3 linked regions of the Saccharomyces cerevisiae S288C genome follow. Changing the gene in region 1 together with any one later gene gives a genetic interaction. Each region holds a gene or a part of one and is shown in the gene's direction. Other genes may lie near its edges.

Region 1 (5,211 bases):
GTGTATGTAATCTACCAAGGAATTTAAGTAAAATTCACCATATACATATAAATATAAAATACAGTTACAAAGACATATACTATCTCTCTCACATGATCTAGCTCGTTTCTAGTGGTTAACAGAGATTTCCCAAACATTCTGGTAGGTTGCTAATATCAATGCTTCTTTGGAACCATTTAAGGGCGATATCCTTGACGAATTGATGATCTTGTTTGCTAAAGCAATCCAAATTTAACTTGGTTAAAAATGAAGCTGCGATAGTAATCGGTTGTTCTGAATCAATATTTTCACTTTTTTGTATGACATCCTTCAGATCGTTGTACAGATTTGATGTTCTGCGGTGAAAATAGCGAACTAAATTTTCAGCGATCTGTATTTCTGAATTGTTGGGTTCTGGGCCAGAAACGTGCCTCGGAATCTTGAAATTATTTGCAAGGTGATATGGCGCTACCAGATAGCCTGCAGTAGTTAAAAGAAAAAACCCATCAATTAAAAACTGTAGCCATGATATGGGTTCTGTCACCTCATGATGTCGACATGTCGCATTTGTAGAGGCATCCTCTTGTAACTCCCCCAGTATAAGTTTTTCATACACCTCTAAGTCAAGAGGAGTTGCTTTGTTTTGTTCACCAGATGCGGTAAGAATTTCCACTTCTTTTTCTGGTGATTCTTCTATAGTTGAGCTCGAAGTAAGTTTGACTACTATGTCGTAAATTTCAGGCTTATACAACAAAATTTCCTCGCTGGTCGTAGCCACATAACCGTTCCCCTTTTTGAACGACTCTAGAAAAGGAATATCTGATGTTGATACCGTGAAAATAGGCTTAATATATTCATCGCTTACATGGTTTCCTATCAAGTTTTTTGGAAGCATTGATATTAAGAAGACACAATAGGCCAAAGAATTGCACAATTCGAACGATTCTCCTTGAGGAACTAGTATCAATATCCTTGACTGAAGGAGACTTGCTTTCCAAAGTGGAAATATGAGAGGCCCTAACTTCCTTGTCCAGTATGGCAAATATTCAACCAAATGCCGTCTTTCTTTGGGTGAATGTTCAAAGACTTCTACTGAATTTTCAGCCATGTGCCCTTGGTTATTCTCGTCAAAAAACTTTTCAAAAATATCAAACTTATCAAGATCACGCTGCCTTATCCATTGACCGAGTAAACTTTCTAGATAGCTTGAGTATCTGTTGGCAGCATACGCATGGTATATTTCCTTATAAAAGTGCTTTTTACTATCTGATGAGGCATTTTGGACATCGATAATTACACCAAGAGAAAACATTTGAACTTTACTCCTATCAATACGATTGTCATTCTCAATAATATCGAACGAATTTTGTTTGAAATAGGCGATGCCGTAATCATAAGTTGTCGTCTTGGCAGTTTGACAGACATCTAATTCTTTAGGAACTACAAAATTGACAACATCGTCAGTTTGTTCGTGAATACCGGCTGGTAACGATTTAAATTCAATATTGCTTAAGTCAATTGCCGCACCATTAATACTTTTAGACCATATTATGATATTTCCCTTTTTCATGTCAAATTTACTTAAGAAGATGCAAGCAATTCCCGGTTTTTCACCATTTGAGTTTAAAAGTTGAGTAATATTAAATACATTTGGCTTTATAGTTGGTTCTTCACCTCCGGAATTCATAGTGCTTCGAGGAACTTACTTGATCCTTCTTGAAGTAGCTATTAAGTTGTTCGAAATGAAGTAATTATTAAAATAGAAGTAAATCATTAAATGATGCCGCTCAACAGAGGTTATGCCAAATTAGTATATAGCATGATTTTACATCACTTTAAACGTATAATTTGTGAATGATGAGGTAGCAACAAATAAACAATGCAACAGTCTCTAGTCCTATGAACTAATTTGGCCTTGAAAACCCCCCGATGATACTTCTTTAGGTGTTACAAACTTACTCGCATAGATATTATTTTTTGAACGCCAGGTTAACAATAATTACTTAGCATGAAATGTCACCTCGACAGCTTATACCGACATTAATTCCGGAATGGGCACCATTATCCCAGCAATCGTGCATAAGAGAGGATGAGTTAGATAGTCCCCCGATAACGCCTACGAGCCAGACATCTTCATTTGGTTCTTCTTTTTCTCAACAGAAACCAACCTATAGTACAATTATAGGAGAAAATATACACACGATCCTGGATGAAATTCGACCATATGTGAAAAAAATAACTGTTAGTGACCAAGATAAGAAAACTATAAACCAATATACGCTAGGAGTCTCTGCAGGAAGTGGACAATTTGGTTATGTACGAAAAGCGTACAGTTCTACTTTAGGCAAGGTTGTTGCTGTCAAGATTATACCAAAAAAACCTTGGAATGCCCAGCAATATTCAGTAAATCAAGTAATGAGGCAAATCCAGCTTTGGAAGAGTAAAGGAAAAATAACGACAAATATGAGTGGTAATGAGGCTATGAGACTTATGAATATCGAAAAATGTAGGTGGGAAATTTTTGCGGCTTCAAGACTTCGAAATAATGTTCATATTGTGCGACTAATAGAATGCTTGGACTCTCCTTTCAGCGAATCTATCTGGATAGTCACTAATTGGTGCAGCCTTGGTGAACTACAGTGGAAACGTGACGATGATGAAGATATTTTACCGCAATGGAAAAAAATTGTGATTTCAAATTGTAGTGTTTCTACATTTGCCAAAAAAATCCTGGAGGATATGACAAAAGGGTTGGAATATTTGCATTCTCAGGGTTGTATTCATCGTGATATCAAACCGTCCAATATTTTATTGGATGAAGAAGAAAAAGTAGCGAAACTTTCTGATTTTGGAAGTTGTATTTTCACTCCCCAATCATTACCTTTCAGCGATGCTAATTTTGAAGATTGTTTTCAGAGGGAATTGAACAAAATTGTTGGTACTCCGGCATTTATTGCACCAGAGCTATGTCATTTGGGCAATTCCAAAAGAGATTTTGTGACGGATGGCTTTAAGTTGGATATTTGGTCATTGGGAGTGACACTATACTGCTTACTGTACAACGAGCTGCCATTTTTCGGGGAAAATGAATTCGAAACCTACCACAAAATCATCGAAGTATCATTGAGTTCCAAAATAAATGGTAATACTTTAAACGATTTAGTCATTAAAAGGTTATTGGAGAAAGACGTTACTTTACGCATAAGTATTCAGGATTTAGTAAAGGTTTTGTCGCGTGACCAGCCCATAGATTCTAGGAATCACAGTCAAATTTCATCGTCCAGTGTGAACCCCGTAAGAAACGAAGGTCCTGTAAGAAGATTTTTTGGTAGGCTACTGACTAAAAAAGGAAAGAAAAAGACCTCAGGAAAAGGGAAAGACAAGGTATTGGTATCTGCAACTAGTAAAGTAACACCTTCGATACATATCGACGAGGAACCGGATAAAGAATGTTTTTCGACTACGGTCCTTAGATCTTCGCCAGACTCGAGCGATTATTGTTCATCGTTAGGGGAGGAAGCCATTCAGGTTACGGATTTCTTAGATACTTTTTGTAGGTCAAATGAAAGCTTACCTAATTTGACTGTGAATAATGATAAGCAGAATTCGGACATGAAAACTGACAGAAGCGAGTCATCCTCTCATTCGTCATTGAAAATCCCAACACCTATCAAAGCCATGATAAGACTAAAGAGTTCCCCTAAAGAGAACGGGAACAGAACCCATATTAATTGCTCACAGGACAAACCGAGTTCCCCACTAATGGATAGGACTGTTGGAAAGCGCACGGTTAACAATTCAGGGGCTAGAAAGCTTGCTCATTCAAGTAATATTCTCAACTTTAAAGCATACATAAATTCGGAAGATAGTGACATTCGAGAAACAGTAGAAGATGTAAAAACGTATCTGAACTTTGCAGATAATGGTCAAATATAGATGAAACTACAGGATGATATCTGTCGGATTGGGTTAGCTGATAATCGTATAGCCGATGTGAAATATGATTATTAATTGATTTACTTGGTTATGGTAAATACATAAATATATATATAGAAACGGCAAATTACCCACATTTGCATTTGTATTAATAACACTAAAGATAATATTCATAATATACCATCATTGATAATTGAAATCGACATCAACATTTATCAATTGAGAGTTTAGTGGTCTTCTATTGCGAGAATATCGAACGATATGATTTATCTTGATCCCACTGTGTCGCGAAATCGCGGAAGTAAATTGAAAACAAAAGAAAAACAAAACTTCATCGATAAATATTGAGAAAACATCTCTTAAAAACAGTAGTAGATAATCTTGAGAATTTACTTTATAAAAAACAGAAGAAGGACTGAATATAGAAAGAATACTAATATAACATAATCATGTCAAGTAAACAACAATGGGTTAGTTCTGCTATTCAAAGTGATTCGAGTGGAAGATCACTCAGTAACGTCAACAGGCTTGCAGGAGACCAACAATCTATTAACGATCGTGCGTTATCGTTATTGCAGAGAACAAGAGCGACAAAGAACCTGTTTCCAAGAAGAGAGGAAAGAAGACGTTATGAAAGCTCAAAAAGTGACCTAGATATCGAAACAGACTACGAAGACCAAGCAGGTAATCTAGAAATCGAGACAGAAAATGAAGAAGAAGCTGAAATGGAAACTGAAGTACCTGCACCAGTGCGAACTCATTCATATGCCTTAGACAGATATGTTAGACAGAAAAGGAGGGAAAAACAAAGAAAGCAGAGCTTAAAGCGCGTCGAAAAGAAATATACTCCTAGTGAATTAGCTCTGTACGAAATTCGAAAATACCAACGTTCCACGGATTTATTAATCTCCAAAATTCCATTTGCAAGGCTAGTGAAAGAAGTTACAGACGAGTTTACAACTAAAGATCAGGATTTACGTTGGCAGTCAATGGCGATTATGGCGTTACAGGAAGCAAGCGAAGCGTATCTGGTAGGATTATTGGAACATACAAACCTCTTGGCGCTGCATGCAAAAAGAATTACTATAATGAAGAAAGACATGCAACTAGCAAGAAGAATCAGGGGACAGTTTATTTAGTGATATTTGTGCTTCAGGGCTGGAGCCGATTTTTCCCTTTTTCGGGGTTTATATTGACTTAAGGTACTTTAAATGTTTTAAATAAGGTTATTATAAGGTCATATTAGCATACCTTTCGGTTCGACAAGTGCTCTCCGCTGTTGACAGTTTTTTTTTC
Region 2 (4,550 bases), on another chromosome or scaffold:
TACTCATTGATGCGAAAACGGGAACTGAAGTGAAAGAACCTTGCCAAATTAATAGGGTCGGTGGGTCATCATTTAATTTTTGCAAAATTTTGCTGAGTGCAGTCATAATTTTCAAATCATCTAGGAACAAATTTGCGCCGAGAATTACAAATTTATGATCTGTTAATTCTTTCTCCAAAAGGTGTAATCTAATCTTCAAATCTTTATCCAAACGAGCAATGAAATTGTTATTAGAAATGCCATGTATTCCTAAGAGATCGAGATTACCTATCGTTTCTAATGTAATTTCTCTTCTCTCACCAGGGGGTAAAGTCATGGAGGTAACATGGAATTTATTTCCTACAGAATAGTATATTCCTTCCACAAGAACCATGCAACCTGGCACGTAGTAATGGCCTTGTGTAGGGATAGTTTGGGAAATGTCAATTTCGACAGATCCAGACGGATCTTCCAGTGACCAATTGCCCTTAAAGTTCTTATTTAAGAGCCCCAATAGTAGAAAGTTTTGAGCATCCCTACCTAGTAGGTTTTTTATTGGGGTGATACTCATACTGCTGGATTGCTGCTGTCGGTTAGTATTGGACAGTTCATTTTGTAAAGACACCATAGATGATAATGGATTAAACATGTCACTGTTTTGGAAGTTTTCATTTCTCATGACTCTGTCGTTCGTGAGGTAATATCTTGTCAAGAACATTTGAACTTTGTCCTCTATATCTGGTAGAAAACCCGCAATGCCTCCTAGCCCATTCTGCTTTTTATTGGGGACGAAAATAAATTGCATTTTGTGCGGATTGTATGAGAATCTTTGTTGCTGAGAAGCATTGATAACTTTGAAGTAGTCCCTCCAGTCCAACGCCTTGGAGCTTTCTGGCTTGAAAGGCTGTTTATATTCATCTCTTTCGGTGGGCTGTCGCATGGGTGAAGATAATGAAACATTTTGTAAGGATGAATCAGCAGCGATCGGCATTTCATCGTCACTGTTGTTCTCATCGTCATCTGTCCGTCCCAAGATATTCTCCTCATGTTGAATAGGGTGTTCATGACTCCATTCGACTTTCTCACGTTCTTTCATCTCCTGTATAACTTCTTTAACCCCGCTCTGGTCGATGAAAAGGCCTCTTTCTTGTTGTTTCCATACTGCAGCAAATTGCTCGAGAAATTTTATTGTAGCAGGCCCTTGTCTCCAGTTAGCACCTATATTAGTGCCAACGAATTCTGCAAGAGCAGACAGTCCATCAGATTTAATTGATAAACCATATTTTCTTGATAAAACTCTATACGCCAGTGGCCTAAGCAGCGGAGGCTGAATTTTAACAGGCAGAACATTCCCAGAGCCAAACATTTCACACATAGACGCTTCTAGTTCCACTTACAAACTTTAAAGGCATAAACAAGTCATCTCAACTTTATTGTAACATGTGTTAAAGATGCCCAGTTGAAATATTTTTCTATTATGTCACGCGAAAAATAACGCGTCACATCACTTTTGTTCCTTTTGTCGTTTTTCTTCTTTTAGATTCCATCTTGAAAAGAGATGAAATGGACAAAGTAACATAATTTAGACCCAACAAAGTAAAAAGAAGGTTGGGTTGGCATTGAAGATCACAATGGGAATTCAGGAAAAGACATTGGGGATACGAAAAGAGCGCAAATTGGTGGTTGTGCCTCGCGAAAGAAATCATGTTAGACACGCTTCACAAAGGACACGTTCTAAAAACTACAAGAATATCTCCAAAAAGAGGGCTCAACAACACGCGTTTGGATTCAATATTGCTAAGACTCTTGCCAAGATCCAAGCGTTTGTATGGGGGTCTCCCGCAGATGAGGAAGAAGAAAGCGTTGTCCCATTGTCTAAAAATTCTCAGGATTGTGTGCCTCTACAATGGCAAGCAAAGTTTGCGCAATTGCGGCAGCAGCTGCACTCTACACAAAAGGAACTACAATTTGTCAAGGAAAAGTGTCATCTGTTGCAGTCGGTGTTGGACGACGCAAACATCGATCAAAGATACCTGGAGTCTCGTCGAGACATGAAAAATATTGAGCGAGACAACCTCAAACCGACAGAAAATTTACCACCTTCGCCAGTAAGAGCAGTAAACCCGTTAGTGACTTCAAGTCCGATTCACATGTCGCCACTCCAGTCGCGCCAACGACCAGTTTCTTCCCTACAGCCCCCAAAGGGCCCCAACTTCTACGCCAAGTATCCTAAGCTTCCTCAAACGAACATTCTCAGAGAATCTCCGACTGAGGATTCGGTTCCGCACGCTGAATAGAAACACAACACGTCATGGTTGTTCTTTCTGTACATCTATTTATTCTTGCTTGATGATATTTATTGTATTGCTTTACGGGTACCCCCGCTGGGTGAAAAAAAAAAAAAAATAAGAACTTCATGATATCGAACGATTTAATCGTGGGTTGAGGACATGGAAGACAAAAATAAAGCAGCATAGAGTGCCTATAGTAGATGGGGTACAAATGAGCACGGGAGATTTTTTAACTAAGGGAATAGAACTGGTTCAAAAGGCCATTGACCTGGACACAGCCACGCAGTATGAGGAGGCGTATACAGCATACTATAACGGATTAGATTATTTGATGTTGGCTTTGAAATACGAGAAAAACCCTAAGTCGAAGGATTTGATAAGAGCGAAGTTTACAGAGTATCTAAACCGTGCAGAGCAGTTGAAAAAGCACTTGGAAAGTGAAGAGGCAAACGCGGCAAAGAAATCTCCTAGCGCTGGTAGTGGTTCCAACGGTGGTAATAAGAAAATCTCTCAGGAAGAGGGTGAGGATAATGGTGGAGAAGACAACAAAAAGCTAAGAGGTGCCTTATCGAGTGCTATTTTGTCTGAGAAGCCCAATGTTAAGTGGGAAGACGTGGCTGGACTGGAAGGAGCCAAAGAGGCCCTTAAAGAAGCCGTTATTTTACCTGTCAAGTTCCCACATTTGTTCAAAGGTAACCGTAAGCCCACTTCGGGAATCTTATTGTACGGACCACCAGGTACAGGTAAATCATATTTGGCAAAAGCAGTGGCCACCGAGGCCAATTCTACCTTTTTCAGTGTTAGTTCCAGTGATTTGGTTTCTAAGTGGATGGGTGAATCTGAAAAACTTGTCAAACAGTTATTTGCGATGGCAAGAGAAAATAAACCTTCTATTATTTTTATAGATGAAGTGGATGCGCTAACAGGTACCAGAGGAGAAGGAGAGAGCGAAGCAAGTAGAAGAATTAAAACAGAATTATTGGTACAAATGAATGGTGTTGGGAATGACTCCCAAGGTGTTTTGGTCCTTGGCGCAACAAATATCCCATGGCAACTGGACAGTGCCATCAGGAGAAGATTTGAAAGAAGAATATATATACCATTACCAGATTTGGCGGCAAGAACCACCATGTTCGAGATTAACGTCGGCGACACTCCATGCGTATTGACCAAGGAAGATTATAGAACTTTAGGTGCAATGACTGAAGGTTATTCCGGGAGTGATATTGCTGTAGTGGTGAAAGATGCGCTAATGCAACCGATAAGAAAAATTCAAAGCGCGACACATTTCAAAGATGTCTCTACGGAGGACGACGAAACAAGAAAACTAACACCATGCTCTCCAGGTGATGATGGCGCCATCGAGATGAGTTGGACGGATATTGAAGCTGATGAATTAAAAGAACCAGATCTCACCATAAAGGATTTCTTAAAGGCTATCAAATCGACGAGACCTACCGTGAATGAGGATGACTTGCTGAAGCAAGAACAGTTCACTAGAGATTTTGGTCAAGAAGGTAACTAGTCAATTGATTAACGTGCTAATGTAGATTTCTTGTGTACATGAAAATAAAAAATAAAAAAAAAAAAAAAACAGAATAATTAAATACAGAATCGTATGCAAAATAGATAAAGAAAAGCAGAGGACAGTTAACTCTTCCCTTTACTTAGAAACATTGTTCTGTTCTCATTATTGGATACCCTAGCATTATCAATTCTAACTTTAACAACGGCGGTGTTCTTTTCAAATATAAAAGCTTTCGCATCAGGATTAGCCTTTAGTATTAAATCTTTATAGTACTTGGATTCTTCACTTTCAGGATTGACAATTTCGGTTTCGCCACCAATAGATGCGCTCATTTGGTTCAATTCGGCTTGATTTAACTCCTGTAACAAATTTAAAAGCTCGCTTTGACGTTGCTCTTCATGAGGAATAGAAGTCGGCGTCGGAGTCCCAGAGATGCTTTCCTTGCCCACTGACAAATTATTCGCGATGATCCAATCGTGAAACAACAGGGCGACCTTAGGGTTCTCCTTGATGTTGTAAAACTTTTGTGTGTCCTGAGGAGAAACAAATATAATGTAGTCATTCTTATTATCTGTTTGACCGAACAGTTTTTCACCTGGCACATAGATATAGTTCATCAATGCCACTGAAGGGATGCAGTCTTTAGAACAGGTGGCCACGTGAACATATTTGGAGTTTTTGATCAGGTTCAGTAGATGCGCTGGTAATGTACTAGTCCAAGCCATAATTGAGATGTTTCAGGGTTTGAATAG
Region 3 (4,652 bases), on another chromosome or scaffold:
TCACTGAACATAGACTCCATGCTAGATGATTACGTTTCTAGTGATCTCTTATTGAATGATGATGATGATGACACTAATTTATCACGCCGAAGATTTAGCGACGTTATAACAAACCAATTTCCGTCAATGACAAATTCGAGGAATTCTATTTCTCACTCTTTGGACCTTTGGAACCATCCGAAAATTAATCCAAGCAATAGAAATACAAATCTCAATATCACTACTAATTCTACCTCAAGTTCCAATGCAAGTCCGAATACCACTACTATGAACGCAAATGCAGACTCAAATATTGCTGGCAACCCGAAAAACAATGACGCTACCATAGACAATGAGTTGACACAGATTCTTAACGAATATAATATGAACTTCAACGATAATTTGGGCACATCCACTTCTGGCAAGAACAAATCTGCTTGCCCAAGTTCTTTTGATGCCAATGCTATGACAAAGATAAATCCAAGTCAGCAATTACAGCAACAGCTAAACCGAGTTCAACACAAGCAGCTCACCTCGTCACATAATAACAGTAGCACTAACATGAAATCCTTCAACAGCGATCTTTATTCAAGAAGGCAAAGAGCTTCTTTACCCATAATCGATGATTCACTAAGCTACGACCTGGTTAATAAGCAGGATGAAGACCCCAAGAACGATATGCTGCCGAATTCAAATTTGAGTTCATCTCAACAATTTATCAAACCGTCTATGATTCTTTCAGACAATGCGTCCGTTATTGCGAAAGTGGCGACTACAGGCTTGAGTAATGATATGCCATTTTTGACAGAGGAAGGTGAACAAAATGCTAATTCTACTCCAAATTTCGATCTTTCCATCACTCAAATGAATATGGCTCCATTATCGCCTGCATCATCATCCTCCACGTCTCTTGCAACAAATCATTTCTATCACCATTTCCCACAGCAGGGTCACCATACCATGAACTCTAAAATCGGTTCTTCCCTTCGGAGGCGGAAGTCTGCTGTGCCTTTGATGGGTACGGTGCCGCTTACAAATCAACAAAATAATATAAGCAGTAGTAGTGTCAACTCAACTGGCAATGGTGCTGGGGTTACGAAGGAAAGAAGGCCAAGTTACAGGAGAAAATCAATGACACCGTCCAGAAGATCAAGTGTCGTAATAGAATCAACAAAGGAACTCGAGGAGAAACCGTTCCACTGTCACATTTGTCCCAAGAGCTTTAAGCGCAGCGAACATTTGAAAAGGCATGTGAGATCTGTTCACTCTAACGAACGACCATTTGCTTGTCACATATGCGATAAGAAATTTAGTAGAAGCGATAATTTGTCGCAACACATCAAGACTCATAAAAAACATGGAGACATTTAATAGACCCCATTTTTTTAATTCGATAGATCTTTCTTCATAAGATAATTCTGTTCAATGACTTATGAAGCTTACGGCTTATTGTTATTATTATCATGATTCTTTGCCATTTTTCCGGTACCTTCACATTTTGAAGGAATTCAGTTCCCCCGCCTGTAACAACTTAGATACACGTAGATAAAAATTAATATAGCCAAAATATTTGGTATGATAGGGTATAGTATAATATAATTAATACAATATAATATAATATAGTACAGTACAGTATAATATTGTATAATATCATATGGCACCGTAATATCATATATATATCCGTACAGTTTAATGAATTCCGTGCGCATTATGCTGTGCAATATGCCTGTCAGTTTGAAAATCGAAGATACCACATCGTACAAAAGCAAGAGGGGTGCCCCTAATGGGAGAAGATTACCGTTTTTATTTTGGGGTAGCTAACTGCGCCACAAATAGTATCTACCAGTTTGCTACTTTTAGAACTGTATTATGTATCTTTGCCGAATACTTAATTTCCTAGGCCTCATTTTCAGGACTAAGGATGAAGAGGGGCTTCAATGTTTTATATGGCGCTTTTTCTGTCCATTGTATACGTCAAAAAAGCATAGATACTCCACTTATTAGCGGTAAAGCCCTTTTTGATACATTGTTCCGGCGTTTAAATATTCTCATTATGATATTTCCCCAACAGTTACACTCTGTTATTTCCTTCTTTTTTATGCTTTATCTGTTTTTTCCCTGTTTCGATGCCGTATATCAGAAAACTTAAAGTTACAAGCGAAAACAAAGAAAAGAGAGTTAACTTGAAAGGAGACAAAAGATAAACAGAGCAGTGGACAAACCAGGATTGAAGTCAGCGAGGGTGAAGAAACCATGAACAATATATTTCATGGAACTGAAGATGAATGTGCCAATGAAGACGTTCTTAGTTTCCAAAAAATTTCCTTGAAAAGTCCCTTTGGTAAGAAGAAGAACATATTTAGAAATGTTCAGACCTTCTTTAAGTCAAAAAGCAAACATTCGAATGTCGACGATGATTTAATCAATAAAGAGAATCTTGCCTTTGATAAATCTCCATTGTTAACAAATCACAGGAGTAAGGAAATTGATGGTCCTTCACCGAATATAAAGCAGCTTGGCCATCGCGATGAGTTAGATGAAAATGAAAATGAAAATGATGATATAGTCTTAAGCATGCATTTTGCTTCTCAAACCTTACAAAGTCCAACAAGAAACTCATCAAGAAGATCTTTGACCAATAATAGGGATAATGATCTTTTAAGTAGAATCAAGTATCCTGGCAGTCCCCAGAGGTCGAGCTCTTTTTCAAGGTCAAGGTCCTTGTCGAGAAAGCCAAGCATGAATAGCAGTAGCAATTCAAGCAGGAGGGTGCAACGGCAAGATGGGAAAATTCCGAGGTCATCGAGAAAAAGTTCACAGAAATTTTCTAACATTACTCAGAATACTTTGAACTTCACGTCTGCGTCATCCAGTCCACTAGCTCCTAATTCGGTAGGGGTGAAATGTTTTGAATCATGCCTAGCCAAAACACAGATACCATATTATTATGACGATCGTAACTCAAATGACTTTTTCCCTCGAATTTCTCCAGAAACGTTGAAAAATATTCTGCAGAATAATATGTGCGAGTCATTTTATAATTCATGTCGTATTATAGATTGTCGGTTTGAATACGAATATACTGGCGGCCACATAATAAACTCCGTTAACATACACTCGAGAGATGAGTTAGAGTACGAATTTATCCATAAAGTTTTGCATAGCGATACTAGCAACAACAACACTCTACCAACTCTTTTAATTATCCATTGCGAATTTAGTTCCCACCGGGGACCTTCATTGGCCTCTCATTTGAGAAATTGTGATCGTATAATAAATCAGGATCATTATCCCAAATTATTCTATCCCGACATATTGATATTGGATGGCGGATACAAAGCTGTTTTTGACAATTTTCCTGAACTATGTTATCCACGTCAGTACGTGGGAATGAACTCACAAGAAAATTTGCTGAATTGTGAACAAGAAATGGATAAGTTTAGGAGAGAATCTAAAAGATTTGCTACTAAAAATAATTCTTTTAGAAAACTAGCTTCCCCTTCAAATCCTAACTTCTTTTATAGAGATAGCCATCAATCTTCAACAACAATGGCATCTTCTGCACTATCGTTCAGGTTTGAGCCGCCTCCGAAGCTGTCATTAAACCACAGAAGAGTCTCTAGTGGTTCATCATTAAATTCAAGTGAGAGTACAGGCGACGAAAATTTCTTCCCCATCTTAAGTAAGTCGTCTATGAGTAGTAACAGTAACCTAAGCACTTCACATATGCTACTAATGGACGGACTGGATACCCCATCATATTTTAGTTTCGAAGATGAGAGAGGCAATCATCAGCAAGTAAGTGGAGATGAAGAGCAAGACGGAGATTTTACTTTCGTTGGTTCCGACCGAGAAGATTTACCCAGGCCCGCAAGAAGATCGTTATTCCCTTCTCTAGAGACTGAAGATAAAAAATGATACTACATGTGCATGAAGTATTATGAAAAAAAGAAGTATATATTCAGGAACCGAACGGCAACAACATCAATACATAAATCACAATCATCTATATTTATTGCATTAGATTAATCACATAATATAAAAAATTTGCATTTGAATACCGGGGTCACTTCTAAATTCATAAAAATAAGCTGATTTTCATTCTAAAATGGCTCTTTTGCTAATGCAGTCTCTACCGGTACTCAGTTTGAGATCCGTTCCCCACCTGGAGGGTGGCCAAACAATTGTTATAGCTTTCCCTATGACCAACCCACTGGAAATGGGGCCAAAAGTATTGCTATCAATCGAATGAAAATAATTGTCCCCTTCGACCCATATGTGTCCCCTGGGCAGGTTCACTTGAGGTTTAGGGTATGGAAACTTCGTGTCAATGGTATCAAACGGTAAACCTTTAACCCTTTTGCAGTAAACTTTCCGAGGGTTTGTAGGAGCTTTGAAAAGGATAATGTCATCTCTAGATAAATTACTTGGGTTCTTGACTCCAAACTTCCAAAGCAGCACCCAATCTGTTGCCAGCGTTTCCGTTTGCGGGTTCAGCGTAGGCTGCATAGAGGTACCTTTAACTTGCGCAATATGGACCACATTATTATTGATTGTTAGAAGTACCGGAACCCATGAAATTGCTATTAGTGTGTTTCGTAAGAATCTTTTTGATGATCCGGCTCGAAACATTACTGTACAGTACAATGCAACAGCTTCATGAATAGCAGCAC

Evidence for each region.
Region 2: mutations in ELM1 (region 1) and VPS4 together harm fitness more than expected from each alone (negative genetic interaction), as found in Saccharomyces cerevisiae (5 studies listed by BioGRID, with this or other methods).
Region 3: mutations in ELM1 (region 1) and MIH1 together harm fitness more than expected from each alone (negative genetic interaction), as found in Saccharomyces cerevisiae (6 studies listed by BioGRID, with this or other methods).

What each region holds. Positions count from the first base shown.
Region 1 is NC_001143.9:345,918-351,128, reverse strand, and holds ELM1 (serine/threonine protein kinase ELM1), read left to right. Parts: upstream 1-1,992; coding exon 1,993-3,915; downstream 3,916-5,211. Other genes in the region: ANR2 (Anr2p), read right to left, coding at 116-1,666; centromeric DNA-binding histone H3-like protein CSE4, read left to right, coding at 4,365-5,054. UniProt on the Saccharomyces cerevisiae protein: Important role in G1 events required for bud emergence and septin organization. Coordinates cell growth and cell division at G2/M, essential for efficient cytokinesis and for regulation of SWE1.
Region 2 is NC_001148.4:885,769-890,318, reverse strand, and holds VPS4 (AAA family ATPase VPS4), read left to right. Parts: upstream 1-2,481; coding exon 2,482-3,795; downstream 3,796-4,550. Other genes in the region: DPB2 (DNA polymerase epsilon noncatalytic subunit), read right to left, coding at 1-1,345; CSA1 (Csa1p), read left to right, coding at 1,611-2,276; YPR172W (pyridoxal 5'-phosphate synthase), read right to left, coding at 3,921-4,523. UniProt on the Saccharomyces cerevisiae protein: Involved in the transport of biosynthetic membrane proteins from the prevacuolar/endosomal compartment to the vacuole. Required for multivesicular body (MVB) protein sorting.
Region 3 is NC_001145.3:341,101-345,752, reverse strand, and holds MIH1 (putative tyrosine protein phosphatase MIH1), read left to right. Parts: upstream 1-2,232; coding exon 2,233-3,897; downstream 3,898-4,652. Other genes in the region: stress-responsive transcriptional activator MSN2, read left to right, coding at 1-1,350; IMP2 (endopeptidase catalytic subunit), read right to left, coding at 4,078-4,611.